Pelodiscus sinensis: one gene and its partner. The protein of the gene in region 1 interacts with the protein of each later gene in a biochemical or structural test. Links are inferred from orthologs where the notes say so. Each region holds a gene or a part of one and is shown in the gene's direction. Other genes may lie near its edges.

What was found.
Region 2: the proteins of YOD1 (region 1) and USP21 form a complex in vitro, tested with the Homo sapiens proteins (2 studies listed by BioGRID, with this or other methods). The link is inferred for Pelodiscus sinensis from reciprocal best matches to the Homo sapiens genes YOD1 and USP21.

Annotation. Positions count from the first base shown.
Region 1 is NC_134737.1:5,461,543-5,477,687, forward strand, and holds YOD1 (ubiquitin thioesterase OTU1), read left to right. Parts: upstream 1-7,907; 5' UTR 7,908-8,070; coding exon 8,071-8,278; intron 8,279-9,922; coding exon 9,923-10,629; 3' UTR 10,630-13,886; downstream 13,887-16,145. Other genes in the region: PFKFB2 (6-phosphofructo-2-kinase/fructose-2,6-bisphosphatase 2), read right to left, coding at 1,929-2,025, 3,670-3,795, 6,486-6,576. UniProt on the Homo sapiens protein: Hydrolase that can remove conjugated ubiquitin from proteins and participates in endoplasmic reticulum-associated degradation (ERAD) for misfolded lumenal proteins.
Region 2 is NC_134734.1:13,510,459-13,527,155, forward strand, and holds the start of USP21 (ubiquitin carboxyl-terminal hydrolase 21), read left to right. Parts: upstream 1-7,796; 5' UTR 7,797-7,811; coding exon 7,812-7,945; intron 7,946-8,272; coding exon 8,273-9,074; intron 9,075-11,027; coding exon 11,028-11,087; intron 11,088-12,654; coding exon 12,655-12,778; intron 12,779-13,424; coding exon 13,425-13,536; intron 13,537-14,343; coding exon 14,344-14,481; intron 14,482-15,013; coding exon 15,014-15,078; intron 15,079-15,937; coding exon 15,938-16,041; intron 16,042-16,420; coding exon 16,421-16,507; intron 16,508-16,697. UniProt on the Homo sapiens protein: Deubiquitinates histone H2A, a specific tag for epigenetic transcriptional repression, thereby acting as a coactivator.

The DNA of each region.
Region 1 (16,145 bases):
GCAGAATTTCAGGCCACGTAAAGCGTACAACTTCCAAGACTCATGAATCACGGCTCCGAAGCTCACAGTTGGAAACACTTAAAATATGACATTTCTCTCTCCTGAAGGACATTCTCTGCATGCTTCATGGAGCCTTGGGGGTTTTGCCAACTGTTTAAATCCCGTTTTTCACTCAGGGTCTCTGTTCTGAGCACTCTACTCTTCCAGCCCAGGAGTCTGCTGCCATCTTTCCTTAAAGGAACAAACCGGTCACTGTGGAGTCTAACCCATTGAGGACATGCACTGCCCACCAGGGAAGACAGATTCGGGAGCAGAGGCTGAATCTAGGTCTCCCAACTGGTCACTAAATGGGACAATAAAGACTTTTTAATTCATCTGTTTTTTGCTTCTTTTTTTTTTTGGGTAGTACTCAGACACCCCCCCCCCCCTTCCTTATCACCTGAGTTTTGGTCTTTGGGCCCCATTCTGCTTTCCTAAAAGTAAATGATGAAACTCCTACTGACTTCAATGGGAGCAGGTTCAGACCCATTATTAGATTTATTGTTTTCGCATCATTTGGTATCTCTCCCCAAGATGTCTCCTGTCGTTCAACGGCCACCACTGCATGCATGAGGTGAAATCCTGTCCTCCGCCCCATAAGAGTCCATGGGACTTTTGTTACGCATTTCAATGGAACAAGGATTTCACCCTTGTCATTCATCTATATGGATCAACTTTCCTTAAAATAATAAATCTATGCACCAGCCAAAGGGGTGAGAGAGAATGGTCACTTGTAAACATGCCCGGGCAGGGACCAAAGTGCACTGTCTTGGAGGGAAAGTTCTATCTCTGCCCACTTAGAGAAAATCTGAAGTTTGTTACCCGCTCATAAGCAAGAGGTCTGCTGCCCACCCTGAAGTCACAGCTTCTAGAGCAGGTATTTTAATGGCATGCACTGAATACTCAAAACTGAGCCCCCTCACTTGACCTCCCTGCCCAGATGTGTGACTTTTATGAAACAAGTCTGCTGGTCAACTTGAATTCATACTATAGTGTTGATGCACTGCTGTGTGCAAATAACTGTAAGAAAAATCTCTCGTTATTCCTGTGGAGAAATGCAAAGTCAAAGCAGAACCCTGGAACGGCATGACTTTTGGACTGACATAGAGATAACCTGAGTTCAGACCTACATTCCAGAGTGATGCAGACAGAGAATGGAGATGGAAAAATGAGGATGTAATAAAAACCATGTTGTCGTTTTTTTAAGAGCACTAGTTGACACAACATTAAATTCTGTCACATGTTCCCAAAGCAGTTTTTAAAACTTGTAAAATAATCTGGAATTTCCTCAGGTTGAACCAATTATTAATCCACTCCACAAAATTTTCACTGAAGGCCCAACTCAGCTATCTTTATTCACACAGGATACAACTACACAGTAGCGCATACCTTGAAATAATTTACTCAATTTGAGCTACACAAATTATGTAGCTTATTTCGAAATAGCTTATTTCAAAATTTGGTGCTGTCTACACAGCGCTAATTTCTAAATAAATCACTATTTCGGCATCTTCCTTATTCCTTGTGCAATGACGTTTACAGGAAGCCGGAATAAGAAGCCTGTTATTTTGAATGAATTTTGAAATAACGAGTGCTGTTAAGAACGGGAGTGTTATCATGAAATAGTGTCGCTGTGTAGATGTACCCACAGTGCAATATCTTACTTTGTGAGTAGTCTCCATTGAAATTAGTGGAGCTATTGATGTAGTCAGGTCCTTCTCAATCTAAGCAATGATAGCAGAATTTACCTCCATATTTGTCTAGACACATTAAATGTTATGTCCCACAGTCACAGGTATAGTCTGAAACCAGTTGCAAAGGCCTTAGAATAAGATGAACTTTTTTTTCTACTATTTCATGTTGAGTTGCACCCAGTGACACAGACTTACTTCCGAATCTTCATGGCTTCTTTGTTATCATGCCTGAAAAAATCATAGGACTTGTACGACTGCACAGCTTCTCGACGATATACTCCTAAATTAAACACTTCACAAAGACAAATGAAGATGTGTGATTTGCAGCATCTCACAAATACCTGGTACCTTGTCATGAGCCAAGAAGAGAATGACATCCTTATCTTGACTAATACACCAATTCATAAACTATCCCTCCCACTAAAATCTTCCAGCAATTTTACTTCAAAATAACTTTTGCAATCACCACAAGAATTCCCTATGATTGAAATCTGAAAAACTTAATCTTCACCACAGAATCTCTTCTTTCCCTTGCGTACTTTTCTTCAGACCTCCTTAAGTTAATTCACATTTTTTATAACTATCCTCCTGGGTATCAGTATAGTCATGGGCAATCCCTATCCCCATTAAGCAGCGTGACATTCAGGCTTTGAAAAGAGAAGAGATCCAAGATAAGCAGAAGAGATGTGATAAGATCTCGTGCACTTTGCAAAACAAAAGTTTAGTGCTCATGAAAGATACCCAGTTGTCAGCCCTGGAAACCAAAGGTCTCTGCCTTAGTGAAATTCACCCTCATGCAAAGGGCCAGCACAAGAGTCTAGGATAGTGTTATTCAATCTTGGGTCGCGGGGCCACCAGGTTAAGCCACCAGTGGGCCTGGGCCACCTTGTTTACTTAATATGTCCACAGCTACCAAGCCTCGCAGCTCCCCTTGGCTGGAAATGGTAAACGGCAGCCAATGGGAGCGTCAAAGCTCCATGGCTATGGACACATTAAGTATACAAAGTGGCACCGGTCGGCCAGTGGCTTACCCTGGCGGCCTCACAACCCAAGCTGAAAATAATTCACTATGAAGCACTTAAGACCTACTTTGAGGGCGCACAGATTTTGTGCTGGCCCTCTGCACAGGGATTATAAGTTTATTCATGTGCAATCCCTCTCTAAGCACCGAATGGATAGATCTTGAGGAGTACTAGTGCAAGCCTCCCCAACATACTGACCCTTGCCAATCTGCTTGGAGAAACCACCTTGAAGGGGTCAAGTGGAATTCAGTTGCTAAGGATAACTAAATCTTCGGGCTCTCTGTTGGCACTGCCGTTAAGACTTTATGATGCAGACTCTTGTTCACAGGGGACAACACTGCAGTTAGCACCCCAAATAGTAGCTATCAAGTCATGTTACGTTTCAGTGCTTATACCCCTGGGCTGCACTAGGGATGTAAAAAGTGGGTTATAAAATAGGTAATAGCGTAACCGCTGAAAATGTCAGCGGTTGTACATGCTGCCAGCTCTGCTCCCAGGAAGGAGGCTTCCCTGCCACAGAGAAGCCACTTCCCTGGGAGCAGAGCCAGCAAGAGCTGTCAGCCTTGCCCCTGAGGAGACTTTGCTGCAGGCTCTGCAGCCAGCTCTCTAGGAGCCAGCATATAAGCAGGGGTGGGGGTGCCAGGCCAGGACGGGCTCACCACAGACAGAGGGTGCTCCGGCCAGCTGGAGCAGACCCTGCCTGCCGTGAGCCTCAGGGGGTGGAGAAACCCCCTCCCTGGGGTGGCCTCTGCGGTTAACCAGAACCAGTAAGCATTACCCATTGTGGGTGATGCTTACTAGTTAGCAGGTTAACCGGTTAGCCTTTCACATCCCTATGCTGGATTAAAACAAATGTTGCAGATCTGGGACCCATCGATCACTTTGCACTACCATGAACAAAAATTCACACAGACCTTTTGTAGGCACGCCAATCCAGTTGAGGTAGCGGGTTAATTTCTTGGACATATAAGTCTTACCCCGGGCAGGAAGGCCAATCATTACAATCAAAGTAGGGGAGTTGGTCATATAAGAAGCCCATGCTGCAAAGACGAGGAGGCAAAAATCATTACATTAATTAAAACAGCTCAACGCAAACACGAAGTCAGACACCAAATTAATCTCTGGCTAACTCACTGTGTCTGCCCATTACAGTGAGTTTTATTAGCCATACAAAAGATTACTTGCTGTGTGTTTCATACAGTGGATTCATTATCATGCCCTTCTTTCCAATTAAATGTTATAGCAACCACTGTACCACAGCTTTGCTCTCTCAGGTATTAGCTAATGAAGTAGGTTAACAACTGATCAGCCACCGTGAACAGGGAAAATAACGTGTGACTAATATGTCAGCCAAAATACGTCAGTCAGAGTTGAAAGTATGTACCAATTAAGCAATAGCTATCAAGGACAGAGGAAAAATTCTTTATTGATAATAGACGGGAAGCTAATTTCTTTCCATATCATAATGAACAAATGATCTGAGAAACAAAGTTGATAATGTTTAATCTGTTGCTAAGAAGCAGGATTTTTGACCAGTACTGATTTTGCATAAAATTTCTAGTATCTATTTAAAAATTCTGATAATTCTCCAAAAGCAACAGATGAATTAATTAATGAATCCACTGAGTAAAACTTTCAGTTTTATAGAACTCTACGAAAGAGACTGATTATAGACAGGGATATGGGAGCATGTGCTGCCATAATTAAACTGGTCAAAGCAAATGAATATAAACTAAATAGAAGACAAAATGGAAAGAATAGGACTTTCCTGTATCTAAATGGCCTGATGAGACGGTTTTGCCACACAAGACACAATTCAAATCTAACTGCAATGCTGATGGGATTTTGTCTGTTGTAAATCTTGTCAGTTTCAAAGATTCTGTTAAAGGTATATATATATATCTGTGCACTACTTTTGCCCCCAAGCTTCAATGCCAATTTTTTTTATAGTTTTATAGCCATATTTGTCTATTATTAATACTCTAAATTCTCTCACTTGTTTGTGTGGATTTTCGTGCATAGTAACAAAGAAACTGACTCTGGGGAAGCCATCTGTATTCCTTGCTGTCATAAGTGCAAAGTAAACAAATGGAAAAAAAAATGTTTTTCCCCATGGTCTTTTCCAGTCATAGTCATTTTAAGGATTACTTAAAACAGGTAAAACATTGTCAGACACAAACATAACCTTTGCATGGACGATGTTCCTTGAAATAGCTTTATAAAGGAACTGGAGGAAGAGACAAACAAGATGTTAAATGTAAATTCCCAAAGTGACTTAGGCTACATCTAGACTACAGGCTTCTTTTAGAAGAAGCTTTTTTTGGAAGAGATCTTCCGAAAAAACTTCTTCACAAAGAGAGCGGCCACACTGCAAAAGTGCATTGAAAAAGCCATCTGCTTTTTCGAAAGAGAGCATCCACACTGAATGGAAGCTGTCTTGCATGTAAGCTGTGATTGCTATGGATGGAATGGCCACCAAGGCACCTGTGCTTTTCCCTTTTTCCTCTTCTTTCGAAAGAACTTGCTCTTCACTGTCCACACATGCCTTTTTGTGAAAGAGCTCTTTCGGAAAAAGGCTTTTTCCTTGTAGAATGAGGATTACCAATGCCAGAAAACCCCCTGGTTCTTTAGATTTTCTTGCAGAAGAACACAATTGCAGTGTGGACAGTCCTCAAGTTGTGTTAGAAAAACGGCCATTTTTCTAACACAACTTTGTAGTGTAGACGTATCTTTAGATTGGGAAGTTCTGAAAAATCAGTAAAGACACTGAATTATGGGTTAGAGACATAAGCAGGAAATAACAAAATGAATGTAATATGGATAAGGGCAACTAGCACGTATTGGGAAAAAGTAATCCTTAATAAAGATATTCAATAAGAGTAAAGAGAGATACTTGGAAAGCAGTAAAAATCGAAGCAGACCGCTGGTGATTATGCAGCTCTAAATCATATCAGTGTGCGTGTGCGCGTCCTTTCCTACTGAACTTTGTGATTCTTTGCTTAAACCTGGCCTTTCACAACCGAAGACTAAGCCTAGGTTATAAGAGTTCAATGGAGGTTGTTAGATGGAATCAGCTCAACTTGTCACAGATGTAACATGCCCAGATCACTACCTGATGAAGCACATTAGATGGAAATAGGCAAGGTGAGCCACCTTAAATCCCTATTGAGTACAGTTGTGCTAGTTCTTGCCTAATACACGTGGGTAGCTTTCAGGAACAGACGTTACATTTAAACTCAGATCCACATTGAACAGATTTCCTTCTAAAAAGAGCTGAATTAAAAAACGTTATTAACTTGAAGGGTCAACATTTGTCCAGAAGAGCAAAATGTTCAACAAATATAACTGGATAAAAGTGATACAAACAAGAATTGTACACAGTTATAAACTTGTCTAGTACTATTTTTGGAGCCTACATTAAATACATTAAATTTCTGGGGATCTCAGGTCCAAGTACATATCATAAAAACACATCACAGTTCTTCCCCTTGCTGGCAGACTCAGCAAAAAAGGCCTAGAAATGAATGGGGGACAGAAAATGAACAGCCCTTCAGATCAGAGCTGAAGCATTTTTGGGAAGAGGCATAAGGAAAGCCACTTCGCCTTTACTATGCCCCGGGGTAGAAGGAATAAAGCGTGACTGATTGACTACTTCTTTTTATAAACAGGTAAAAGAGAAATTAATTGCAAGACACAGGATCTATTTCCCTAGACTGTCACAAATACTCACAACACTTTTTTTCTGAGACTCGGAGATTTGAAGTTTTGTTTTCCTGGTTGTTGTTGTTTTGCTCTGGGACTGATGCTGTATATTGTGACATTGCTGCTAATCAACACACTTAGTCAGTAATGGACCTTCAGGCTCTTGGAAAAGAAAAGAAGAACCAAACATAAATCCTTATGAAATCCGGTAGACAGAGCGGAATAAGATGCATAGCAACTTATCTGTGCTGTTCCTGGTGGCAAGGAAAGGAAGCCATGCAAGTCTCAAAGCTGTAGTCCAAGGTCACCCTCAGGTGGTAACATATGTAGTTGGCACAAGAGAACACAAACCATAGCAAAACGAAGCACAGGAGGAAAACAATGCCGCCTTCACCTAGAACATTAATGAATCATCTCAGCCAAGGAATAAGGGGAATGTACCTGTATTTACCCTTGAGTGCGAATCACCACAAATGTAAAGAAACAGCCTTTCCCCAGACTCCCGAAGCGGTTCCGCAGCTGCGGGGGCACTTTTTGGAGATGGCCAAGCAGCCCCCCCAGCTGACCAGCAGGGATTATGGCTCAGATGGTTTGACAGCATCCTCTGAGCCAGGGGGCGGGTCCCAGCACTCACAAGCCCCGCTCCAGGATTTCAGCCATTCCTCAGGCACGGACCTGCAGAGCCCCCCAGACAGACCCGCTGGCAGCGCAGGGAAACTGAGGCACCAAACCCCGAGCCTTCAGCGCGAGCCGTACCAGGAAGGGGCGGGAAGCCAGCCTGCTGCTGCCCCTGTCAAGCTCTGCGAGCCTCGGGCACCGGCCGGGAGCCTCCCCCAAGGGCAAGGGCATGGACGCACCGAGGCTGGCGGGCCCCGCACTGCAGCAAGGCTCCCCCGCGCCGCCCTGGGAAGGTTCGTCCCGCACCTGCTGGCCGACAGGGAAGAGGGCGGGGCAAGGAACGAGATGCAAATGATATGCTAATAGAGCGCTCGCGTGACTAAGACGCCGCTTCGCTGGGAAAAGGGGGGGGGGGGTGGAGACCCGCGGAACCAGGCAGGAGGGGCCATGCTATGCAAATGAACACGCGCAATTCAAAGAAGCCTGGACACGTCAGCGCGCCCATAGGCCAGGTATGTAAATGAGATGCAAATGTGCCCATGGATAAATAAACTGTAGAAAAGCTCACTCCATTTTTTTTTCCGAACGAGCGAAAGAACAGGAATTTCTAGTATGCAAATAATGTGCAAATATGCAAATGAGTTTATAACAGAACTCCGCCCCCACCCGCTCCTATTCCACCTTGACCGCGGGAAGGCAAAATGACGTCTCTTCTCCCCCCTCCCACCCCGACTGTGAGACTCCCCTCGTGCGCGTGTGACGCCACCACGGGCGTCTCCACCCCAAGCCGCGGATTGGCCGCGCCGCCGGCGCGCGAGGGAAACATGCCCCCTCCGCCGGGGAGGAGGGGCCGGTCCCGGCGCGCGCAGCCAATAGCCGGCCGCGGCGCCCGTTGTCGCGAGACTTGTCGGGGCAGCCCTGGCAGCGGCCGCCGGCCCGGCCGGCCATTTTGCCCGGGCAGCAGCACAGGCCGGGCAGGCCCGGGCCGGCGGAGGATGCTGCGGCTGCGCTGCAAGGCCCGGAGCGGCTCCCACCCGCTGCCCGGCCTCACGGCGCATTCCCGCCTGCGGGAGCTGCAGGCCGCCCTGGCCGCCCTGACCGGGGTCCCCGCCCCGGCCCAGCGCCTCCTGCTCGGCTTCCCCCCGCGCAGCCTCGACCTGAGCGACGCGGAGCGGCGGCTGGGGGAGCTCGGCATCCACTCAGGTGAGGCGCGCGGGGAGCCCCCCCTTCCTGGGGGGCGGGGCGGTCCTGGCTGCCTCACGCTGGGGCGGGGGGTCAGTGGCAGCGTCTCTGCCCCTGGAGGCGGAACCCAGCGGTGGAGTGAGGGGGGGGGTCACACTGGCTCCGGCCCCCCCCCTCGTCCCCAGGCCGCGCTCTTCGCTCCAGCGAGGCTGTGGGGTGCCCCGCCGGGCACAGCTGGCCCGAGGGGTAGGAATCTGGGCTCCAGGTCCAGAGAGCGAGCAGAACCTTCCCTGTCTGCTTCACGCTTCGTCATTCTCCAACGGACGTGGTAGAGACTTCAGGGGCGAGCCGACTTAGTCAGTACAGGGAAAAAAACAAGCACTGTTTATAGACACACACAGGTAGATGGTATCGTGGGCACAGCCCACTTCTTCAGACTGTTGGGGGTAAGAGTACCAATAGAGAGGTAGCCCCGTTAAGTCTGATTTTGCAAAAACAAAAGGAAATACTGTGTAGCACTTTAGAGACTAACAAGATGGTGTAATAGGTGATGAGCTTTTGTGGGCCAGACCTGCTTCTTCAGATCATATTCTGGAAGAAAATTGGCATGACCAGGGCTTGACAAACAGCGGAAAAATCTATTTGCCAGACCCACATTGCGCATGCCCGTGTCACCGGTGAACGGGGTGACCGGCTGAAGTGGACTTGCCATGGGCAAGTAGATTCACTGATTTGTCAAGCCCTGGGCATATCCATATATACCAGAGGAATACAATGAAAAAAGTGAACACATTATTAAACGGTGTTAATAACGTGTTCACTTTTTTCATTGTATTCGTCTGGTATATATGGTCATGCCAATTTTCTTCCAGAATATGATCTGAGAGGGCAAGTGTAAGTTGAAGTTGTCCCTAGAAGTGATGCTCAGGGCTCACTGAAATGGATGGCTTAGCAAGCATGTCCTTTCTCTAGCTTATTTCATTCTCTCCCCAGATACTGTAGCCTTGTGAGCATGAGTCAACTGTAAAAGAACAGATTGCAAAAGATCTAGCTCTTGCTGGAGTAAAAGGCAGCAGGAGCTTAAAAACACAATATTCTATTATTATTTCATACATGCGCACACAAACAATATTATTCTACATCTTACTGCTCAAGACAGGATGAGCAACAGAATACCAGACTTAATTGAGCCTGCCTTTCAAGCAGATTATAATTAGCTTAACTGAAACTCATTTGGGATGCTTCACTTACCACCCTTTTTATTAAAGGATTGCAAAATAGTGTTGTCAGTGACTTAAACTTATCTAGCAGCTTGTAAATATAAACATCTCTAAATATCACTCCTCTTGTGGCCCAGATTTAGACAAACTTGAAAATATTACTTGTTTTGCCAATTTAGAGATTTCAGCACAAAGCTTGTGTCTCTCTACCAGCCATATACAGTGAGGTCCCAAAGCTACTGTTATTTTCTACATCTTGCTGTGGCTTATGTAATTTATCAAATGGGTAATGCTTTCTATTGTGCTTATCTAATCTTATCAGAGAACCGAGGCATGGTACACTGGGACAAAGATTTGCTTCACTGTGCAGTTTTTCCTTTGTTTGCAATGCATTATGGTGATTCAATGCTGGATTTTATCTCATGTCTCTTTTTATTTTTGACAGGTGATACTCTAATAGTTGAAGAGGACACAACCAAACCCAAGACTGAGTCACCTGTAGTTGCAAAAAGGAGTGTCCCTAATTTTGTCAGGGGGGCAGTGCCTGTACTTGGAAGGAGGGTTGTTCCAGCAGATAACTCTTGTCTCTTCACAAGCATATTCTATGTGGTAGAGGGGGGCATTTATGATCCAGCATGTGCTCCAGAGATGCGCAGTCTTATAGCTCAGATAGTGGCAAGTGATCCGGAGTCCTATTGTGAGGCAGTACTAGGGAAAACCAATCAAGAGTACTGTGAATGGATCAGAAGAGAAGATACATGGGGAGGAGCCATTGAAGTGTCCATTTTGTCTAAGTTTTATCAGTGTGAAATCTGTGTAGTGGATACACAGACAGTCCGAATTGATCGTTTTGGGGAAGATGCTGGCTATGCTAAGCGGGTCCTTCTGATTTATGATGGGATTCATTATGATCCCCTTGAACGTAAAATCCCGGACTCAGACGTCCCTCCCCTGACCATTTTCTCAACAAATGATGATATTGTTCTTGCACAAGCATTGGAATTAGCAGATGAAGCCAGACGAAAAAGGCAGTTTACTGATGTAAACCGCTTTACGCTGAGATGCATGGTGTGCCAGAAGGGATTAACTGGACAAGTGGAAGCCAGAGAACACGCAAAGGAGACTGGGCACACGAATTTTGGAGAAGTGTGACATCTGCTTGAGGATGGTTACATCACTACCTCACTGATCCAGAATAAGATTCTGGGTTTTCAGATAAGCTGTATGTAAGCATAAAAAGCTCCCTTCACAAAGCTTGAAAAGCCCTATTAACTTAATTATTGAGACACACAGGTTTGTTATGGTTAGTGTGCAGGTTTACAGATAGGTATACGGTAGTGATGCTCTCTTCCCAACTAGTTTGAAATAGGTAACTTATTGCATGCTGGATTGCATGCAGATTTTAAAGTAAGTGGCAGCTGTTTTTGTTGTATGTCAACAGCTAAAAGTCCTGATTCCTGAAGAACCTTATTTTCTGATGGAGAAGCTGCTGAGACACATGGCTGGACATACACTTAATACTGTACCTAGAGTTACATAAAGACTTGCAGAATAACACTGAAATCTAAACTCTGAATTATGGGATTGAGTTAGAATCTTTCAGGACTTCTAAAATGGTGTTAGTTTGGCATTTAGAGTAAGAATTACATAACTTTTATGCAATTAAGCAATGTTTTCAGTAGACACCTACAGTGAACACTTCCTATAGAATTGGTAACAAAGCTGCTCTATATTGTGTCATAACGAAAGAAAGAATACGCAGTCTGATAGTAAATTGAGAGAAAGCCTTCTTAAAATGGAGTAGACAGTTAAATGGCCAATAGACTTAATATTTCCCCATAAGCACTATTTGAAATGTAGTTTAGTTGCTTGAAAGTTAACTGTTAATCCCTCAGTTTACACTACATCAGGATGTAGTTTCTTGAAATACTTTGACCCATACTAATATCTGTTACAGCAAGAAGGAATTACAGTAGTTCAGATTACAACTAGATTGTATTGATTAAACATTAAATCTAGTTTTGCTTAAATGTGGCTGATCTTGTGGGCATGGGAAGTGTTAAGCTGTACCAGGCTCCAAGTATTATGTTGGCACTTTTTAATCTATGGTTCTCATTCTTTTATAGGTCAAAGACTTGTTCTTTTCAGAAAATCAGAGCATTTATCCAAAAGGGAAAAACTTGAAGTTTCTTTGTATTGTGCCAGATATCATTTAACTTGCTCGATTTCTCCCCAGTGATTAAATAGCAAGTTCTCTATTTTAATAAAGAATAGAGCAGTTTTTCACAACAAAATAAGCTAGGTAAAATGCTCTCGAAGTGAAACAGGGATGTTGAAACCTGTTATACTAAAGAAGTATCGCTTTATGGGGGATTGATTGTGAGCTTAATATCAAGTGCTTTGAGATCATCTGAAAGATGTTGTGGCTGTACACAAACAACTTTCTTTTAGAGTAAATGCCTTAAGACACACATGTTGAGGCATTTAAATTTTTAGCCTTGTTTTGTTACTTTGCTTACAGTTTGAGACCCCTTCTGGACAGTTGAGCAAGGGGGGAACAAAGATGCATCCCCAGCCCTGATCAAGAAAAGCCTCCTGCTTAAGTAATTTCCTGAATTGGGGCCCTCATGAATCTCTAACTACGGGCATAATTCTATGGTTCTCCGTGGAACTAGAAATGTGATTTTAGTTATATGTGCATAGATATTTTGCTGTCTTAAGACCTAAAGAAAGCAGTACATAAATAATATCCACAAGAATATAATGGACCAGAATTATTTTATTCAGTATTAAGTGACACTGCTCATGTTTATTATAGAAATCAAGTGAGCTGTCATTGTTAAGCCCACTTAGCTTTTACACTTGTTTTTAATGCTAGACTAGAAGCAGATACTTAAAGCTATTGTAATGGGAGTGTATTTCATATGCCTTTAAATACTGTATTCTAAATAGTTGAGATGAAGCTGATTTGTGACTAGACCAAGGGACTATCAGATTCTATATTCTCAATTTTGTCAGTGAATGGTGATATACACTAGACAAATTACTACACCTCACAGAGGTATTGAGACTGTTTGATAGTTTGTAAAGTGCTTTGATGAAAGGTGCTACATAAATATAAAGTACTATTATTCTGTGCCATGTTTGCAAACTTATTTGGGGAACATAACTTCTGTACTACGAAATCCTTTAGTTTTGTGCTCTGAAATCTGCACAATAAGATTTGATGTCTCTGCAAACATTGTAATAGTCCAAACTGTCTGCCATGAATCCCTAAAATAGATACCATGGTCAAATCACAACTGAACTGCTGTAATACTTGAGATACTTTTAGTGTAACAATTAGCTTTGTTAAAATTCAACATTTTAATATTTCAAAGAGCAGATTTAAGTTGGAGATGGAACGGGTCAGTCATCTTCCCCAAAGCAGAAAGTCTAAATTCTCTGGGGAGATGAATTTAAAATAAATTGGAAAAATAACTTCTGGGTCCCTCCCCTGTGAGACCTTGTAAACTTGCTAATAGCAATCAGATAAAATGAAGCTAGCACATCTGTTAGCCCTTTTTACTGAACAGACATGAAAATGTCATGAGTGATTTCCTTAGCTCAGGGAATCAACCTGTGACTTTTTCAATGCCTCTTAATTGACTTGCACTGAAGCATTACTACTTTAGCTCCAAAATACTAAGTGTGGACATTTCCTAAAATTAATTGTTCAAGACAGAGTGGAACTGAAGTTCAGGTAATTGGCATTTGGCAATAAAGATTGCGTCCATAATGATCCAAATTATGAGCCGATGTGGATTGATGTCCTTAACATGCCCCCAAAATGTCATTAATACTAATTTCCATGGCGAATGTTTTAGCAGAGGTCAGGGATTTGAATGGGCCCTGCAGCCTGAACTTCCTAGCCCAAGAGGGGGATTCCTTGCTTTAAAAGTTGAGCACACTAGTATCATTTTGAAGCTGACTAGTGCAGGATTCGTTATCTGATTAAATATAGGACTTCATCTTCCAGGCTGCCAGTTTGGCACTTTTCACCAGCACTCAATTCTTTTTCCCAAGGAAGGGAGGAAAGAAGCTTACGTACTTTAATCATGTGGCCTTTTACAAAATTTTATATTGCATGAAGAAATACACATCTCATGGTGAACAGCACTTTAAAAGCTTGTCAAAGTTTACATGTTTAGCAATGTTTTGCAGGGACCTAGCTTGATGTAAGTGTGGTGTTGCGGTAAAATAACTGAACAATTTCTAAATCTTGATCCTCAAAACTTACCCATGTATTCTAGTGACAACACATCCTGTTATTTTGTTTTCAGCACAGGTTATTTAAGTACATTTCTTTAAACATGTGCCCTATTACAAAACTCATTATTGCACCAATAAAAAGGTGATTCATGCATGCACATTTATGGTGTAGTATTCATTTGTGGCTTGCATCATGGGGTTTAATTATAGTGGTGGAGATACCTGAATAAGTCAATAGAGCATGAAACAGTTTTCACAAGCTACTATAAACATGCAGTTGCTTAGTTCCAAAGACAAAGGGACAGGAACAAGTCATGCTGAAGTGGCACTATGTAAAAAAGTGTACATTCATGAAGTAAAAATTTAACTTAACCAAACTGTTCCATAGAATCTCTGGATAGTAATTCCATGCTCTAGTAATGAGTGCAGCAGTAGGCATATATTAATGATCACCTGACCAGGATGGTGATAGTCTCTCATCTCACTTATATTTCAGTCACTATCAAAATAAATGGGAGATTTCAGCTATCCCCATATTGACTCTGTACACATCACCTTGGGCTAGGATCCAGAGAGAAATTTGACACCTTAAATGACTGTTTTTTGGAGCAGCTGTTTCTGGAAACCCACAACAGGAGAGACAATTCTTGTTTGTCCTAAGTGGAGCACCAGATCTGGCTGAAGAGGTGACTGTAGCTGGATCACTTGGAAATAGTGAACATAATGTAATAAAATTAAACATCCCTGTGGTGGGAAAAACAGAGCAGCCCAACACTATAGCATTTATTTTCAGAAAGGAGAACTATATAAAAATGAGGTTAAGCAGAAATTTAAAAGGTACACTGCTGAAAGTGAGTTTACAGTAAACTCTATGGAAATTTTTCAAAGACCCCCCAGAATAGAGACTTACCAAAAGTGCCACTATGGCTTAACAGTCAAGTGAAAGATTAAAGGCATGTTTTAAAAAGTGGAAATTAATTCCTAGTGAGCAGATAAAAAGCATAAATGCTGTCAAATGAAATGTACAAATATCAGTCCAAAAAGAATTTTAAAGACAGCTAGCCAAAAAACCCTAAGTAATAGCAATTTTTTTTATATCTGAAGTAGAAAGCCTGCTAAACAGCCAGTAGGGCCACTGGATGATCAAAATGCTAAAGGAGCACTTAAGGACAAAGTCATTGCAGAGCAACTAAATATTCTTTGATTTACATGACGGAGGACATTGGGCAGATTCCCAAACCTGAGCCTTTTTTTAGGTGACAAAACTGAGGTATTAGAAGAGGTAGTTTTGGAATGAAACAAAGTGATAAACTAAACAGTATCAAGTCATCAGGACCAGATGGCATTTACCCAAGAGTTCTGAAAAGTCAAGTGTGAAACTGCAGAACTACTCACTGGTTTGTAACCTATCCCTTAAAGCATCTTCTGTACCAAAATAACTGAAAAATACCTAATATGACACGGATTTTTTACAAGTGCTCTAGAAGCGATCCTGACAATTACAGAGCAGTAAGTCTAACATCAGTACCAAGAATGTGGTTTAAACTATAGTAAAGAATATCTATGTCTTGAAAATTCTAAACATAATTTATGGGGGTAAGTTAACATGGTTTTTGTAAAAGGAAATTGTGCCTCACTAATCTACTAGAATTCTTTGAGGAGGTCCACAAGCTTGAGGACAAGGGGGAATCCAGTGGGTACAGTGTACTTGTATTCCCAGAAAGCCTTTGACAAGGTCTCTCACCAAAGGCTTTTAAGCAAAGTAAGTTGTCGTGGGATAAAAGGGAAAGTCCTCTCATGGATTGGTAACTGGTTAAAAGATAATAAAGGGTAGGAACAAATGAGTAGTCCCCAGTGTTCACTGTAAGATGAGTGTGTGGAGAGCCACCCAGGAGAGATTCAAATGCCACCCACCACAATGTCCACAGTCAGCAACATGTTTCTACTGGTAGTGCATATCCACACATGTTTCACAGCATATAACTCTTTATTTCAGACATGGATGGAAAAAATTAGAGGGAACATAGGTGGTATCCATCTGGGCTTTGAACTGGAGCCAGTCCTGTTCAATCTATTCATAAGTGATTTGGAGAAAGGGGTAAGCCATGAGGTGGCAAAAATTACCAGGTGATGCAAAACTGCTCAAGATAGCTGAGTCCAAAGCAGACTTTGAAAAGCTTCAAAAGGATCTCAAAACTAGTTGACTGGGCAACAAGACACATGAATTTTAATGCCGATAAATGAAAAGTAATGCATGATGGGGACCAAATTAGCTGTTATCACTCAAGCATTTTTTAATTCATTGTGGGCAGTTCTGACAACATCCACTGAGGCTACATCTACACTGTAGGCTTCTTGCGCAAGAACAGTTTGTGCAAAAGACTTCTTGTGCAAAAGTTTTTGCTCAAGAATGCGTC
Region 2 (16,697 bases), on another chromosome or scaffold:
AGGGCGAGCGGGGCAGCTGCCCCGGGCCCCGCGCTTCCCGAGGCCCCGCGCATGCGCCATGGCGCCACGGCGCATGCTCCGTGTCAAAGGAGGGGCCCCGCAAAATTTCACTGCCAAGGTCCCCGCGGTGCTGCCCTGGGCCCCGCGGCACTCTCATCTGCCCCTGCCCATCGGTTAACCAAAACTGGTAAGAATCACCTGTTAAGGTTAACCAGTTTTAACCATTCACATACCTACATCAGATCAATGATTTTAAAGCCAAAAAGAAAGCACGTGTATTGTCAATGCTTATATGCTTTTCTATAGTCTGATTAAACCCCTTATACTCATGAACGGAGAAAGCGCTTGTAATACGACTACGTTGTTACAGTTACAAGTCATGCAAATGGGATAGCTGTTAATTATTGGTTCAGAGTAAATCAGTGTATGCAGGTGCTCATCCCATCCTTAAGGGGGAGGGAATTGGGAAAATGTCCAGGTTTTCAGGACAGTAGTTATTTTACTTTTAAAGCCATAAAAGAAACATTCACCCCACCCTGTACTCCAGTGGTTCTTAACCAGGGATACGCAGAGGTCTTCCAGGGAGTACATCAGCTCATCTAGATATTTGCCTAGTTTTACAACTGGCAACATAAAAACCATGAGTGAAATCAGTAGAAACTATAATTGCATGCAATGACTTGTTTGTACCGCTCTATACTACACATTGGCTGTGTCTACACTGGCAAGTTATTCTGGAAAATCAGCCGCTTTTCCGGAAAAACTTGCCAGCTGTCTACACTGGCCGCTTGAATTTCCGGAAAAGCACTGACAATCTAATGTAAAATCATCAGTGCTTTTCCGGAAATACTATGCTGCTCCCGTTCGGGCAAAAGTCTTTTTCCGGAAACCTATTCCAGAAAAGGGCCAGTGTAGACAGCACAGTAGTGTTTTCCACAAAAAAGCCCCGATCGCGAAAATGACAATAGGGGCTTTTTTGCGGAAAAGCGTGTCTAGATTGGCCACGGATGCTTTTCCGGAAAAAGTGCTTCTCCGGAAAAGCGTCCCGCCAATCTAGACGCGCTTTTCCGGAAATACTTTTAACGGAAAACCTTTTCCGTTAAAAGCATTTCTGGAAAATCATGCCAGTGTAGACGTAACCATTGAAATGTAGGTACAATATTTATATTCCAATTGATTTGATTATATGGTAAAAAAAAAAGAGAAAGTTCACAAATGTTCAGTGGCAGTGACACTTTTATATTGTTAAGTCTGATTTTGTAAGTAAATAGTTTTTAAGTGAGGTGAAACTTGAGGGTACGCAAGACCAATCAGATTGCTGAATCAGGTACAGTAGTCTGGAAAAGTTGAGTAATTGCTGTACCCCGTGCGTCTCCCTTCCCTAAATAGCTAGACAGGTATTGAAAGTAACTGAGATTCTTAGTTTAAGGCCAGAAGGGACCATTGTGATAATCTCTGACCTCCTGCAGAATGCAGGCCAGAGAACTTCCCTGAACATGGATCCTATTATACAGATAAGCCACTTGAAGCATAAATACATTTAAACCAGCTAGTGTTTTATTGCGTAGCTTTGTTACTCACCCAAACACATTGAAAATACACAAACAGGTTCTCAGTTGCTGCAAGCTAACATGGGAAAGAGAAGAGCAGATTATCAGTTTATTTAATGAAGCCAAATTCCTAAGAAAAGTTCCTTGAAGAAGGTATTTTCAGCTTTGTCAGGAATCATCATGCAGCAGTTTTCCACTGTAACATACAGGCCTGGTTTTATGGATTCATAGATTACAAGGCCAGAAGAGACCACTGTGATCATCCAGTCTGTTCTGGATAACACAGGCCTGAACAGGGGCGGCCCATGAGCCTAGGCAGACTCAGCGGTTGCCTAGGGCGTCGCCGGCCTGGGCGCCTGATAATGACATCAAGGCCATTGATGGCCGTGCAGGTGGGGGCGCCAATCACGCCTTCCACCTGGGGCGCTAGTTGCCACAGCCAGCCTCAGGGCACTCCTGGGCCTGAGGACTAGGGATGTTAAATATTGGTTAATTTAATAATCAAGTTGCCTCATGAATTTTTATCTGTTAGTCAACTATTTTATAGTTCCCAGGAGCGGGGCTGGCAGCCATTGTATCAGAGGCAGCAGTGCAGGGTGCCAGGCAGGAGCTGGTCTATGAGGGGAGCCAGTTTAAAAACCAGCTTCCCTTCTGGACCTGCTGCCTGTCGCCCAGTGCTGCTGCCTCTGATAAAGAGGCAGCAGAATGGGGTAGCAGCAGCCCCTGTCTAAGTGGGGGGAGGTTCTAAGCTCCTGGACCCGATGTGAGCCAGAATTGAGCCAGGCAGCCTGCCCACCTGGCTCCTAATACACTTTAAATGCAGAGCTATAGCTGGGGTAGGTTCTGGACCCAGCAGGAGCCAGAACTGAGCCAGGCTGCTGGCCAGCCTGCTAAAAATTTATTGGCAAGAGTGGGGGAGGGAAATGCGTGTAGTCTATAGCATTAACGTATAAGCTTGTGCTTATTGATTAATCGGTTAATCGACTACACTGTTACATCCCTACCAGGGACTTCCCCAAAGAGTTTTAAATAACAGTCCAATCTGGGTTTTAAAATGGCCAGTGACGGTGAATCCATCCCCAACTCTTGCTATGTTGTTTCAGTGCATCGTTCTGTACCAGCTGGAGTATTCTCAGGGCCAAAGCCTTCGCGCCCATGTCTATTGCATGGCTGCCATCCAACTGAGAGGTGACATGGGCATTAATAATGTAGGTTAGGTCATTATCTGCCAGGGTGAGTCGGAGTCTCCTCCCAAGCAGAGATGGCGGAGGGTGTCACTTGGGCAGTTGCTATGTGAGCACTCAGCATCAGCCAAACATCTAAGAGTAATCCTAGATAACAGGCTGAATTGGCCAAGTGCGGATGGGACCTTTCAATGAAAGAAGGCGTAACTCTGCAAAGTACCGTCCTCTGCCACCAGCACCAACCCTGCCCTGCTCCAATGCACTTCGCCCGGGGCTAGCGTAGTGTTTCCACGCCATATCCTGGGACCCCTGCAGCAGGGTGGGGAGCGGCGCATGCCCGTGTGCTCGCAGGTTCACCAAAGGACGTGTCCTTAACCGGCAGCTTGGCCACGCTTGGGTCTTGCCCCTTTTACTTGCACTTCTAGCGCCGCGTCTCTGCACCCTGTAGCATAGATGTGGTGTGTCCCGTCCCCCAGCACAGGGGTCCCCAGCGGACATGGTATGTCCCGTACCCCCCAGCACAGGAGCCCCCAGGGTATGTGCTATGTCCCAAACCCCCCACCACAGGGAGTCCATGGCTATATGGTATGTTCCATACCCCTCAGCACAGGGGGTCCATGGGTATATGGTATGTCCCATACCCCTCAGCACAGGGGGGACCATGGGTATGTGGTATGTCCCATACCCCTCAGCACAGGGGGGACCATGGGTATGTGGTATGTCCCATACCCCTCAGCACAGGGGGTCCATGGGTATATGGTATGTTCCATACCCCTCAGCACAGGGGGTCCATGGGTATGTGGTATGTTCCATACCCCTCAGAACAGGGGGTTCATGGGTATATGGTATGTCCCATACCCCTCAGCACAGGGGGGACCATGGGTATGTGGTATGTCCCATACCCCTCAGCACAGGGGGTCCATGGGTATATGGTATGTTCCATACCCCTCAGCACAGGGGGTCCATGGGTATATGGTATGTCCCATACCCCTCAGCACAGGGGGTCCATGGGTATATGGTATGTCCCATACCCCTCAGCACAGGGGGTCCATGGGTATATGGTATGTCCCATACCCCTCAGCACAGGGGGTCCATGGGTATGTGGTATGTTCCATACCCCTCAGCACAGGGGGTCCATGGGTATGTGGTATGTCCCATACCCCTCAGCACAGGGGGTCCATGGGTATATGGTATGTCCCATACACCTCAATACAGGGGGTCCATGGGTATATGGTATGTCCCATACACCTCAATACAGGGGGTCCATGGGTATATGGTATGTCCCATACCCCTCAGCACAGGGGGGACCATGGGTATATGGTATGTCCCATACCCCTCAGCACAGGGGGTCCATGGGTATATGGTATGTCCCATACCCCTCAGCACAGGGGGTCCATGGGTATGTGGTATGTCCCATACCCCTCAGCACAGGGGGTCCATGGGTATATGGTATGTCCCATACACCTCAATACAGGGGGTCCATGGGTATATGGTATGTCCCATACCCCTCAGCACAGGGGGTCCATGGGTATATGGTATGTCCCATACACCTCAATACAGGGGGTCCATGGGTATATGGTATGTCCCATACCCCTCAGCACAGGGGGCCCATCGGTACGTGGTATGTTCCGTACCCCCCAGCACAGGTATTCCCAGGGGACATGGTATGTCCCGTACCCCAGCACAGGGCCCCCTCGCATGTCTCAGGCCGGGGAGGGCCTTGTGACGATCATCGGGTCACAAGCACTGCCGCAGCCGAAGCCTTGGCGACTCTGCAATAACTTTCAACGAGGGCGCTACTGTCGCTTTAAGAGGCAAGGAGGACGCCGCTCTGTCTCCATGGCGACGGGGCTGTGTCACTGAGAGCTGGACGCGGACGCACGGGCGGCCTGGCCCTAGACGCTGACACCCGGGGATGGCGGCGCATGCGCAACGAGCCGACTGAAGCCGCTCGCCGCCCGGGCAGCGGGGACAGAAACAAACATGGCGGCGTCTGGTGCGGGAGTTGTTGCTATGGCGTCCTGCAGGAGGTAGGGCCAAACCCACCCCCAGGGCCTCGGAGGGGGTGGGCACCCTCCATGGTATGTGGGGTCGGGGGTTCCTCGGGCTGTAGGGATGGGTTTGGGGGGGGGGTTGCCCTATGGAGGGCTGCAGCTCGGGGTGCAGTGGGGGTCACTCTCTAGGCGGTGGGGGCTGCAGATAGGGGAGCAGTGGGGGTCACTCTAGGCGGTGGGGGGAGCAGTGGGGGCATGAGGGGGGGCATGGGGGGGTTATAGGGGTTTGGGGCCTGCCTATGGTGATAATGTGTATATGGGGGGCAGTATATAGGGAATTTCTCTAGCGGGCTTGCGGCCTCTATATAGGAATTGCAGTGCGTATATGGGGGCGATATATGGGGTGGCTGCTCTCTACACAGGGAGCTGTAGATGATAGATGCTGGTACGTAGGGTTAGGGCATGGTGTATCGGGGCTGGGCTATAGGGGTTCTCTAGGGAGCTGGAGGTCACCAAAGTAGGTGTGGTGTGGGGGGTGGAGGGAAGCAGGGGCGGCCCTAGACTAGCCGCCAGCAGCTGGTGCCCTAGGCAAACCATGCAATCGGCGCCCCCACCTCCAAACCCCTCAATGATATTGCGCCACCATTTGGCGCCTCATTTAACTTGGTGCCCTAGTTCGCCTATATGGACGGGCCACCCGTGGAGGGAAGACTGGGCTTGGCACTAAGACACTACCCTGCCAGTATGTGGAAAACAGTGAGCAGTCCTGGGGAACCTTAGACAGTAACAACTATATTATATCATGAGCTTTTGTGGGTAAAACCTACTCCATCAGATGAGTTGTATCTGGGTGGTTCTCTCTTCAGGCAAGGGCAAGTGGGTCAGCAGCAAGGGGTGTATGTAGGATGGGGGGGGGCGGAAGGGAAGGGAGAGGAGTATGGCTGGTGGGGATATTTTGAAAATAAATTCACTTTGAGTGATGTGTACATGGGGGGGGGGGGCAATATATAGCCCTGAACGAGGCCTAGGAGATGAAAAGTCTTTGCTGTCTGGTGCTACCCAGGGAGATGTGGCCTGAAGAGACTACTGGTCCCAGTGTGCCTTGTAGCATGGTGGCTTGAATTGAGAGGGAACAGTGCATGCTGGGATCTGTAGTCTCTGTGGGCTGCCCCTCAGCATAGGAGATGGAAGGCAAATGCAGCCTTCCCCATTTTGTAGTTTTTGGGTAGTCCTTGGGCCCCTGATAACTAGGCCAGTGCCATGTTCAGATGGGCAGAATCTGGGCACTGCTCCAACCCACTTGCAAGGGAAGTGCCTTGTGAATTGAGATTGACCTGCCATCTGCTGTCTAGGCCTGGTCTGGAATATTCCATCCTTTGTTTTGAGGACATTTAGCAGTAGCAGGCCTGTGCTACTTTCCTAAAGCGGGTAGCAAACTGATCATGCTCTGTTCACTGGGTACTGTGGGAATTTGCTATTGTGACACTTTTGAGTTAAAAGGGAATCTCCATCTGCTTTTAGCAGGATAGGGCTTATGACACACAGCTGAGTCAGTCTGATTCTATCCAGAAGATGGCAGCATCATGTGTACACACTAGCCAGTTAATGACAGTGTACGGGATTGTGCCATTGGACCTTAATTAAGGCTTCCAGAGCTCTTTGATTCTGTATATAAAGTGTTGGCTGGCTTCATTGTGTGGGGTCAGTGCCTTCTTCAGTGTTCTCTGCTGAATGCCGGGTCTGGGCCAGTGCTCCTCCTCTAGGAGGTGTTGAGAAGAGAATCAGTAAGTTTCTTTCCCACATATAAGCACTTTCTGAGCTCTGCATTAGCAAAGCCCAGCCCATGCCAAAGGCGGCTGGTGGGAGTAACTGGCAACCCACCTCCTGACTAGCAGTTCAGTGATTCACCCTAATTATCTCTGTAGTTCAGGAACAAACAAGAGCCTCACCCAGATCCCTCACCTCAGCTGAGTGAGATGGTGCAGTTTGGAGCAGCCTGTGGGGGTTTGACAATGGAGAGACCTCTGCAGGGAGAGAAGTCTGGTCAAAAGGGCCTACTCAGCCTTGGCCTTTCAGACTGTCACAAGGCACCCACTGAGCCCCCTGGCAGTGTAGGCTCTGCTCAGTAACTGCAGTAGGATCAATGGCTCCTTCTGCATAGACGACCAAGCTGCTGTTAGAGGGCCAGGCCTCGGAGGGTATGTCAACAGTGCAATTAGATGTGCATGGCAGGTCTGTGCCAGCTCATACAAGCTCACCGGGCTTGGGCAACGGAGCTCCGTAACTGTGGTGTTGACATTTGGGCTTGGGCTGCAGTCTCAGCTCTGGCAGGGTTCTACAGGCAGGGCTCCAGCCTGAGCCTGAACTAGGTATGTTAAAATGTGTTTAATTATGTAATCAGGTAGCCACTGAAAATGTCCGTGGTTACATGGAGCAGGGGGAGGGGAAGGTGTGTGTGCGCATGTGCGCGCACCCTGTGTGTAACCGTGCATGTTAATCGATATGCCCAAGCTCATTGGTTAACCATGTAAACAGTTACACTTCCACATTGCAGTTCAGCAGCACCTTAGCCTGAGTCGGTTGGCACAGGCTAGCCGAGGGGGGAGGGGGTTCAACTGCAGTGTTAACATATCCTTTGTTACACCTGCCTGGAGCTTGGGATCCTTGGCTGGAAGGCACCAGAGCCCGTTAACTCTCTGCCTTAAAAACTTGCTGAAAGGGGAGTGAAAGGCTGTCTCGGGTGACTGTCCTCGAAGCAGAGCAGAAAGGAGGGTAGATGGCATGATGCTGCCTCCAGGTAGTCCCGGCCACTTCTTTCTCTGCTGTGTGAGGTGGTGGTGTATTGCAGGATAGGGAGAGCCTCTGCCTGGCTTTCCCTCTTCACCCTCCTGAGGATACCCTGCCATTCCTGCCCAGCTGTGCACTATCCTACTCTGGTGGGTGGAGTCATATGGGGCCTGTCTCACTGGAGACCCTTCCTCCCTTTCCCTGGGCACACGGACTGGTTTGAGCCACTCTGGGCCCAGCCACCTCTCAAGATTTTGCAGAGATTCTGGTGGCCAGATGTCCTGGATGAAACTACCATGGGAGCCTGTGCCTGCATCATCCTATCTTGTGTTCTAGGGCCCCAGCCAATGGGAATCTCCACCTGGACAGCCACCGCCGAGGGGTGTGAGCTTGGTGCTGGTGGGGAAGAGACGCTCGCAGCTTGTGAGAGGTACGTCCAGTTGTGCTGCCTCTGAGCACCGGTCCATGCAGCCCAGCATCCATGCTTCAGCTGTGACCAGCACCTGCTGCTGCAGAGGATGGTTGCTGCTTCCTATAATGCAGTTAGTCAACTTTGAGTTAGAGAGAATTCACTCGCGTGACACAGAGTTGGTGCCGCTGTCCTGGAGCCTGGTCTCCCATTCCCTTGCTGAACCCACAAGACTGCACTGCCCTCCTCAAGCTGGGCCTGGCAGTCTGGGGTCTTGCCTCTGATAGCCGTGCTCTGTTAGCATGCCTTTGGCTTTGACTCACTGCGTTGACTCCTCTGTCTCCCCAGAGTTCTCCTTGCCATTGTCTCTACAATGCCCCAGGCCTCTGAACACCGGGTCAGCCGGACTAGAGAGCAGATCATCACATCACAGCCCAAGGCCACCACCAAGCTCCTGAATGGACACCGGGCCGTGAGCCAGGAGCGCCACGCCTCCGCCTCCCCTGCCCTGGCCAATGGGCTTTCCATGGCTCCCAAGATTCGCCCACTGCCTCCCCGGCCCATCCCTCTGGACGATCGGGGGAAGAAGCAGGAGCTCGAGAGGGGCCGCGCTTCGAAGCGCAGTGACATGCTGCGTGGCTCGGTGCCCAGGCGAGGGCCAGTGAAGGCCGACCATGCGGTTAAGGTGCCTAGCTCCCCACAGGCTAGCACCATGTCAGGCAGTGCCTCCTTCTCCTTGTTACTGGTGGGACGGGACACTGAGCGTAGGCTGAGCAACCTTGCCCGCTCCAAGTCCATCAGCATTGGGGACCTGAGCCAGGCAGGGGGACGAGGGGAGGAGGCGAGCGCGGTGCTCAGCCGCCTGACGCTCCAGGACCGCAGCCCATCCTGCAGCCAGAAGCTGGGCCTGGGGCACTTGGCTCTGAAGCGGAGCACTTCGCTCAGGAGGGTCAACGTGTCTCCTGCGCTGGATGGGAGGCCTGCGACCACGTTGCTCTCTGTCCGCACTGAGGGCTGCTCCAGGACTCACACCTCCAATCCTCAGGCCCCCGAGTATGTGCGCCCCCTGGATGTGCCAGTGGCTGGGAGCCCACCCAAGGGCAAGGTCCCGTCTCCAGCTCCGAGCAGGCCTGAGGAGAAGGCTTCTGTTGTAAGAGTGGTTTGACATCTACTGAGCATGATGGGTAGCAGTCCTCCCTGTATGGGGGTGGATGGGCCCTGTTACTGCTGACACCACCTGGCTCTGCAGGGTACAGTGCCTGGCCTGATGTTTGGGGGCTGCAGTCTCAGGCTTCCTCAAGAGGGGGAGGCTTTCTCCCACCTTGCCCCCGCCCTGACTTGCCAGTGGGAGTCTAGGCTTAGTGCTCTCTGGTTTGCCCCAAGCTGTCCCCAGCCTCCTCATTCCCATGAGAACCCAGCACCTGTGGGTGAGATCCTGGGAGCAGGCAAGTAGAAAGCCATGCCATGAGGCAGAATGGCCAGGTTCACTGGGGTAGTGGGAGGGTGACGTGCCTCAGCGAGATTTGCAGCTGGGGCTTGGAGGTGGAGTGATTTTTGTTTTGTTTTTTGTTTTATTTTGTTTTGAGTCCCTTGTCTGGCTACAATCACCCTGCTTCCCCCAGCAGCCTCCTGCCCGCTACCATACACATGCAAACCTGCGGGGAGTGGGTGGCATCAAAATGTCCTAATTGGGCCTGCGGGATGTCTGGGGGGAGGGTCTTTGGGCCCACTGAGTGGGGGCACAACATGCAAGTCAGCAAGCAGCCCCCAAGCCCCTGACTTGTCCTGCAGCAGCAACTTTGGCTGCTCCAGGAACGGCTTCCATTGCTCCTTAGCTGGGAGTTCCACTGATCCGCTGGGGGGGGGGGCGCAGCGCAGAGAGCCAGCTTGTGGAGTCAGTCTCTGGTGGGATTGCATGTGAAGTTAACAGATGCTGAGACTCGTGGATTGCTCACTCGGGTGGGGGAGGGACAGTGAGTGAGAGGCAAAACCACAGACCGTCCCCTACAACAGGCCTGGTATCAAGGCTTTGCCCCAGGTAATGAAAATGGCCCAAACTGTCCAAATGCCTAAATTTTGATCTCCAAACTTTGAGATCCCCCCATGTCCTGACCCAGAACTTTCCCTCAGTCCCTGCCTGCAGCTCCTCAACTTTCCTAGCAAAAGAACCTCCCAGGTGTGTTCACCCAGCACCAGCTGATAGTGTAACTGCTAATCGGTTCCCTCTAGGAAATCTTACCTAATCTGTGTGAGCACAGGTGTGGGGCTGAGCGCTAGGCATGGCCTGCTGCCCCACGCAGGGCTAGCGAGAGCTTGGCGTGCACCCACCTAGCAATCCAGTGAACTATGGCAGCCCTGAGGCAGGTTGGCCTGGGGCAGCTGGTTTCTTCCCCACCCCAGCCCTCTCGCAGTACCTGCGGCAGGGTCGATGACTGTTGGGTTGTATTTTCTTTCTCTGGTCTACGGTTCTTCAAGCACCTGCTGTCTCCGGAGTAGTTCTCCTTGCTAATTAATCCCACAGAGATGAGCCTCAAGCAGGGCCCGGAATAGCCGGGGGAATCGGATCAGCTAATGAGCTGATGGTTTATAGAGGCAGAGGGAGGGCCCAGTGGTCCCTTCAGTTGGTGCAGGGCAAGCACAGCGCTCCGGCTGCCCGCTCCTCCGTGTGGCAGGAGCCATGCCAGGCCTGCAGGGAGCCACCCTGGTGGAGCTGCCGCGAAAGCTGCACCGCACGTTGGCCACCAAACGGGAGCTGCAGGGCAAGGGGGCGGATATCTCGGAGTCGGTCGTGCACACGGCGGTGATGGGGCTGCTGCTGATGACCAGCGAGGTAACGTGCCATGTTCTTCCTGCTGCTGGCCACAAGCAGCAGGACACCCCCAGTCTCTGGGGGCCACGAGATGGCCGTGCTGCAGGGGGTTGGCTCGGTGTGTATGGAGGGAATGGGCTAGGCTGGCCATGTGCGTGGCCGTCCTCCTGGGGAGACACGAGGCAGAGATCGACCTATTTACAGTATCACGGCACGGACCTGCTCCTGCTTGAATTGGCTACTTCTCAATCCCTTTCCCAGGCACTCATCCCACCTCTCTCTCTCGTCTCTCAGACACACAACACCCTCCTCCTGGGCTCTGGGCACATCGGACTCCGCAATCTTGGCAACACGGTAAGCCCCTGGCTTTCAGTGCTGGGGAGCCATGGACAGTAGGACCCCCCCCGCACGCAGGGGAGGAGGGTTGGGGGAGGGGGCGGGATGTCGACTGTGCAAGGCTTTCAAACCTGCATTTGCTAGTCACAAATAGCACTTGCTGCCTGGGAAAGGGACGTGCAGACCTGCTGGAGTTGGGAAGACTCTAGGTGGCTCGTCTTCCCTACAGCCCAGTAGGGAGGTGGGGCTGCTCCCAGCGCTGCACCCCCCTCTGCTGTGCCCAGTTTGGGTCCCATGCTCCCCGTGCAGCCCTCGTGGCACTGGTCACACCAGGGCAGAGTGTGGCACTGTGGTGTTTCATATCCATTTTGCACTTGCCAGGGTACGGAGACCTGGGCTGCCTGGTTTCTGTGTCATAGATGTGCCATGTGGGGGAGACCGTGCCCTGCCAGGGCGCTCTGAGATCCCTGAGTGCTGCTGTTTCTCATATGAGTCTGTCACCCTGGTCCCTGTAACCTCCCCAGTTGCCTCTTCCTCTGTGTTCCCGGGCCTGGCCCTTACCTGAAGCAGTGAGCTCCTTTGAAGCGCTGCTAACCGGGCGCCTTGCTCCCCCTGCTGCCACCTCTGACCAGCGCCTGCCTGCCTGCTTGTGGGACTGGGGCACAGCAGCTTCCCCCTGCCGTGCAGACATGCTGGGTGCGAGGATGCAGGGCTGTGCCTGTCGCTGTCAGCAGCGTGCTAGGCCGGTCTGTTGAGGCCAAGCCAAGGGCTGTGCCTATGTTGCATGGAGAAGCCAGCAGTTGTGCTGGGGGTGGAACTGGCTTACCTTTCCCACCCAGCTGTAGCTCCCCTTGCGCCCTACTCTGCTCCCTGCAGTCCCAGCAGTGGAAGGCTTGGGCTGCTCTGGGGGCTTTCTGGGTGTCTGCCCAAACCCTGCTGTGTCTAGCACACTGAATGTCACTTCTGCCCTCTGCTGTATGGAATCAGGACAACTGTTGTGTGTCAGAGGCCCTGTACTGCTGATGGTGATTCTCCTGTAGCCCAGGTGGCAGGGGTTTGACTGAGTCGAGTGCTGCCTGTGTTGTCGGAGGGGCTCCGAGAGGCCCTGGTGCAGTGAGTGGCAGTAGCTTTAGTCTAGCTAGGGGGGTGGTTGATCAGCTGTATTTGGCCAAAGACTCTATCTTCCTGGTGCGGGGGGTTAATGACTGGAGATCCTACCCCCCCATCATCAGCATCAGTCTGCTTCACTGTGGTGGCCCCCTTCTTTGGGACCCCTCGGTGTCCCTCCTACATCTGCTGCCAGCCTGGTCTCTGCACAGTGGTGAGGGACAGGTGGCTTCAGGAGCACCCTCTTTCGGCTGTCAGGGTGGCCGGATTTGGCTGGGACTACTTGGAGCAGATCTGGGCAGGGTGAACTGACAGACTTTGGCACGTGTCTGCACTCTGGGCTCCCTGCTCTCCACGGCTCATGTCCAGTAGGAACGACTGCCCCTCCTGGGCTGGCTGTGCTCAGCAGTGCAGGGGCTGGGGGAGCCGGCGCCCAGAACATGGGGCCTGCCCTCACTGCCTGCCTGTGTCCCTGCAGTGCTTCATGAATGCCGTGCTCCAGTGCCTGAGCAGCACCAAACCCCTGCGTGACTACTGCCTGCTCAAGGAGTTCCTCCAGGAACAGCCTGGCACCTCGCGGGCCCCGCAGGAGCTCACGGAAGGTAGGTGAGGCAGCCGGGCACCTCGTGGCTGCTCCCCAAAGCTGGCTTGCTGCAGCGGGAGCTAATCCCTGCCTCAGTCACCAGGTTATGTAAGTGCCCTGCCGAAGTGAGGCCAGCTGGAAAGCCCGTTACATAAGCAGCAGGGCTGAATTCCCTGCCATGGCGCTGTTGACACTGTGCCCAGCAGGGGAGATGGAGGATGGGCCCATGGCCAGGCTCTGCAGTGCCGGGTGTGCTCCTGTCGCTCTGGGCACCGCAGGGCAAGGCTGGGGAGCTGGCACTAAGCAGGGAGCAGAGGTGTTAGTGGCAGAGTCAGGAATAGGATCCAGGCTGTGCTCCACCCACTGTCCCGTGCTCCCTTTGACCCCCATCAAGCTGTTCTTCCACCCCTCCCTGTCCCCGGGTCTGCTGCATGGGGGAAGCAATATTTTGTAGGTCTGGGGTTGTTTTCGTTTCCCTCCCCCCCCCCCCCCCCCCCCCCGCCCCAGGACTGCTCCAGCAGGGTCTAGTTGGAGATCAGCCTCTCCCCCAAAAGCAGGAAATCCCGCTCCCCCACCTCATGGCTGCCATGCCAGGTGGGGTGAGCAAGCTGGCTGTGGGGCAGGGCAGGCAGGGTAACATGGGCTGGTGGCTTGTTTCCCCTCAGCCTTTGCAGATGTCATCAATTCTCTGTGGCACCCAGATTCCACCGAGGCTGTGAACCCCGCACGCTTCAAAGCCGTCTTTCAGAAATACGTCCCGTCCTTCACAGGCTACAGGTGAGAGGTTCTGTCCTGTGGACCCTGGATCCCTTCTCCCACGGCCATGGAGCGGGGGGGCTGTCCCAGAGCACCAGGGGAATGTAGCTGCCTTTGGGCCAGATGGTAGCAGCCAGCATAATGAGCACCTGGAGGAACCAGTTCAGCCAGGGCATAGGATCCCTGTGATCTCAGGCCTGTGCAGAGTAGCCTGGACCTCCTCAGAGTCCTGCCTGACAGCCCCTTCCCACAGCAGCCTGCCAGAGCTCCGCTTCTCCGCCCTGGCAGGATGATGGGCTGAGTCAGGCAGGGGGGACAGCAGCAGTGCTGGGAAAGCTCCTCTGCTGATGAATCCTGAGTGTGGAGGGCTGGGGGGTCAGGGGAGGGGACCCTGCATGTGATTAGTGCTGGGAGCAAGGGTGGGGCTGAGGACCCTGGATGTGGAGAGTCCTGGGGGATAGAGCTGGGGAGGGGACTCAGTATGTAGAGGCTGCTGGAGAGCTGGGGAAGGGGACCCAACATGTGGAGGGCCCTGGATGGTTGCAAGAAGAGGGGAGCCAGTGTGTGGAGGAAGCTGGGGGGCAGGGCTGGAGAAGAGGAGCCGGTGTGTGGAGGAAGCTGGGGGGCAGGGCTGGAGAAGGGGAGCCGGTGTGCGGAGGAAGCTGGGGGGCAGGGCTGGAGAAGGGGAGCCGGTGTGCGGAGGAAGCTGGGGGGCAGGGCTGGAGAGAAGGGGAGCCGGTGTGCGGAAGAAGCTGGGGGCAGACCCAGGGTGGAAGCTCTGGAAGGACGGGGTGGGGCAGGGCTCTGACAGGCCGTTCCTGTCTCTAGCCAGCAGGACGCCCAGGAATTCCTGAAGTTTTTAATGGACCGGCTGCACGTGGAGATCAACAGGAAGGGGCGCAAAACTCCCAGCATCCTCTCTGATACCAAATGGCCCTCAGTGCTAGAGGACGCGGACCCCCTGAGGTGAGCAGGCCAAGCTGGTCGGGGCTGCGGCGCCTGAGCACGCAGAGAAACGTGGTTCCCGTTGTGAGCTGGTCCTTGCACCGAAGGCCTGAAAGCTGCAGGACGGCCCCCGGCAGGGACTCTGTTGCTGCATGGCCGGGGCTGGGGAGTTGATGGGGGCAGGGACCAGGCCAGTGTCCTGGCTGGGGCTGAGAAGCTGGTGACCTTGGCTCCGTCCCGGGGACAGGAGCAGCACTGAGCAGGTTGGCAGGCAGCTCCCTGTGGTTCGGGGTTCCCAGCAGCGCATTGTTGCCTGGGGGACAGGGAGCTGCTGCCAGGGGCAAGCCAGCAGGTGGGGAGGAGACTGACCCACCGAGAGTGCTGAGCCTGCTCTTGGTCCAGGGGCTGCCTTCCTAGGAGCTTGGGGAGTCTCAGCCCAACAGCAGGACAGGAGCCCCGTGCACAGCCCCACCTCCTGCTGCCTCTGGCTGGTGTGTGGAGGGAGCTGCCCTTGGGGAATCTCCCTCAGCAACCCCCCCTGGGTTTTCCCTAGTGATGACGAGCGAGCCAATCTGATGTGGAAGCGCTACCTGGAGAGAGAAGACAGCAAAATAGTAGGTGAGCATCTCTCTGGCCCCGGGGCGGGGGGCTCTGATGGACGGGGGGCCCAAAGGGCCATGAGCCCGGCTACTTCCCACTGAGGTCCACTCTGACCCCCGCAGTGGGGTCAAAACCTGGAGCCCCGCTGGGGGAGCCCATGCAGCTATAGGGAGCCACAGACCCTCCACCTTCCAGGAGGGGGGACCCGTGAGCAGCCCTCAACCCACGTGTCCCCCACCTCTGGGACCGCTGCTCAGGGTAGATGGAGGGCCCATGGCTCTCCACAGCTGCCTGGGCAGCGCTTAAGGCCCCAAGGCCCCGGCTCGGGCCAGGCTGGAAACCAGAGCCAGGTCAGGGCAAGAGCCATGCAAGCAGTTGTGGGGAGCTGTGGACGGTTGCCCTGGCCTGGGAGGAGGCCCTGGAGGTCCAGAGCTTGCTCTTTGCCCTCCCACCCCAGGCAAGTGAAGGGGCCTGGGCTTGCCTGTCTCCAGCTTCTGTCTTGGCCAGAGGTGGAGCCCCCCCACTTCTAGGAAGACTCTGTTGCCTCTGCCTTCCTGCCCCCTACCCAGTCCCTCTGGACTCATGGCTGGGGGCTGCGCCAGGGAGAGCCGGGACTGGGACAGGCAGACTCTGCCCGGGCTGTCTCCCTCTAGCCCCTTGTGGAGCTCAAAGTCCCCTCCCCTCGCACATGTGCTGGGGCTCTGAGTCTGGGCCCCTGGAGAGGGTGGTACTGGGGCTTAGAGCCGCTTTGGTGCGAGGGGAGGAGCCGCACATCCGCTTGGCTCCTGTCAGTCCCGGGCCAAGCTGGCAGGGGGCACCCAGCGGGGGGCACCGGGCGGGGAGGCACCTGTGCTCACCTGTCCCTTCTCCCTCCCAGATCTCTTCGTGGGCCAATTGAAAAGCTGCCTCAAGTGTCAGGCCTGTGGCTACCGCTCCACCACCTTTGAAGTCTTCTGTGACCTCTCCCTTCCCATCCCCAAGGTAGGGCCCGTGGGAGCTGGGCGCCCGGGGAGAGAGCCGCTCCCTCTGTCCTGGCTCATCCTCTCTTCAGCAGCGGGATGCAGTGGGCTTCAGAGGCCTCATGCTTCCTGGCTAGCCCAGGCAGGGTTGTGCGTGTTCACCTACTGCAGCTTCCCTGAGCCCCCTGGCGCGCCTGCTGCCCCTTCTCGCCCTTGGGGCAGCGCAGGGCCGCCCCCCTTTGTGAGTTCAGAGCAAAGTGCTGAGCCAGCCTTGCACAGCCAGTGCCCCAGGCCTGACTGGGACTGGGGCTAAGCTCCTGCCCCGGTCTGTCCCCCTCCCCTCCCTGCAGGCCTGAGCCTCTGCCCTGACTTTGTGCACCCCTCCCTGCTTTCCGTTGCAGAAAGGCTTCGCTGGTGGGAAGGTCTCTCTCCTCGACTGCTTCTCCCTCTTCACCAAGGAGGAGGAGCTGGATTCGGAGAACGCTCCGGTAAGGGACGGGCACCGCTGCATTGGGTGCACAGGGATTGGCCCTGACCCAGCTGTGCTTAGAATGAGCCTTCACATCTCTATCCCGGGGGTCTGTGAGGCACATCCCAGCTGGGGCAGGGGCACATGGAGCTGGGCCAGGCCAGGCTGCTGAGGTCGCCAGCATCGCCCCTGCGTCTATAGGACAGTAA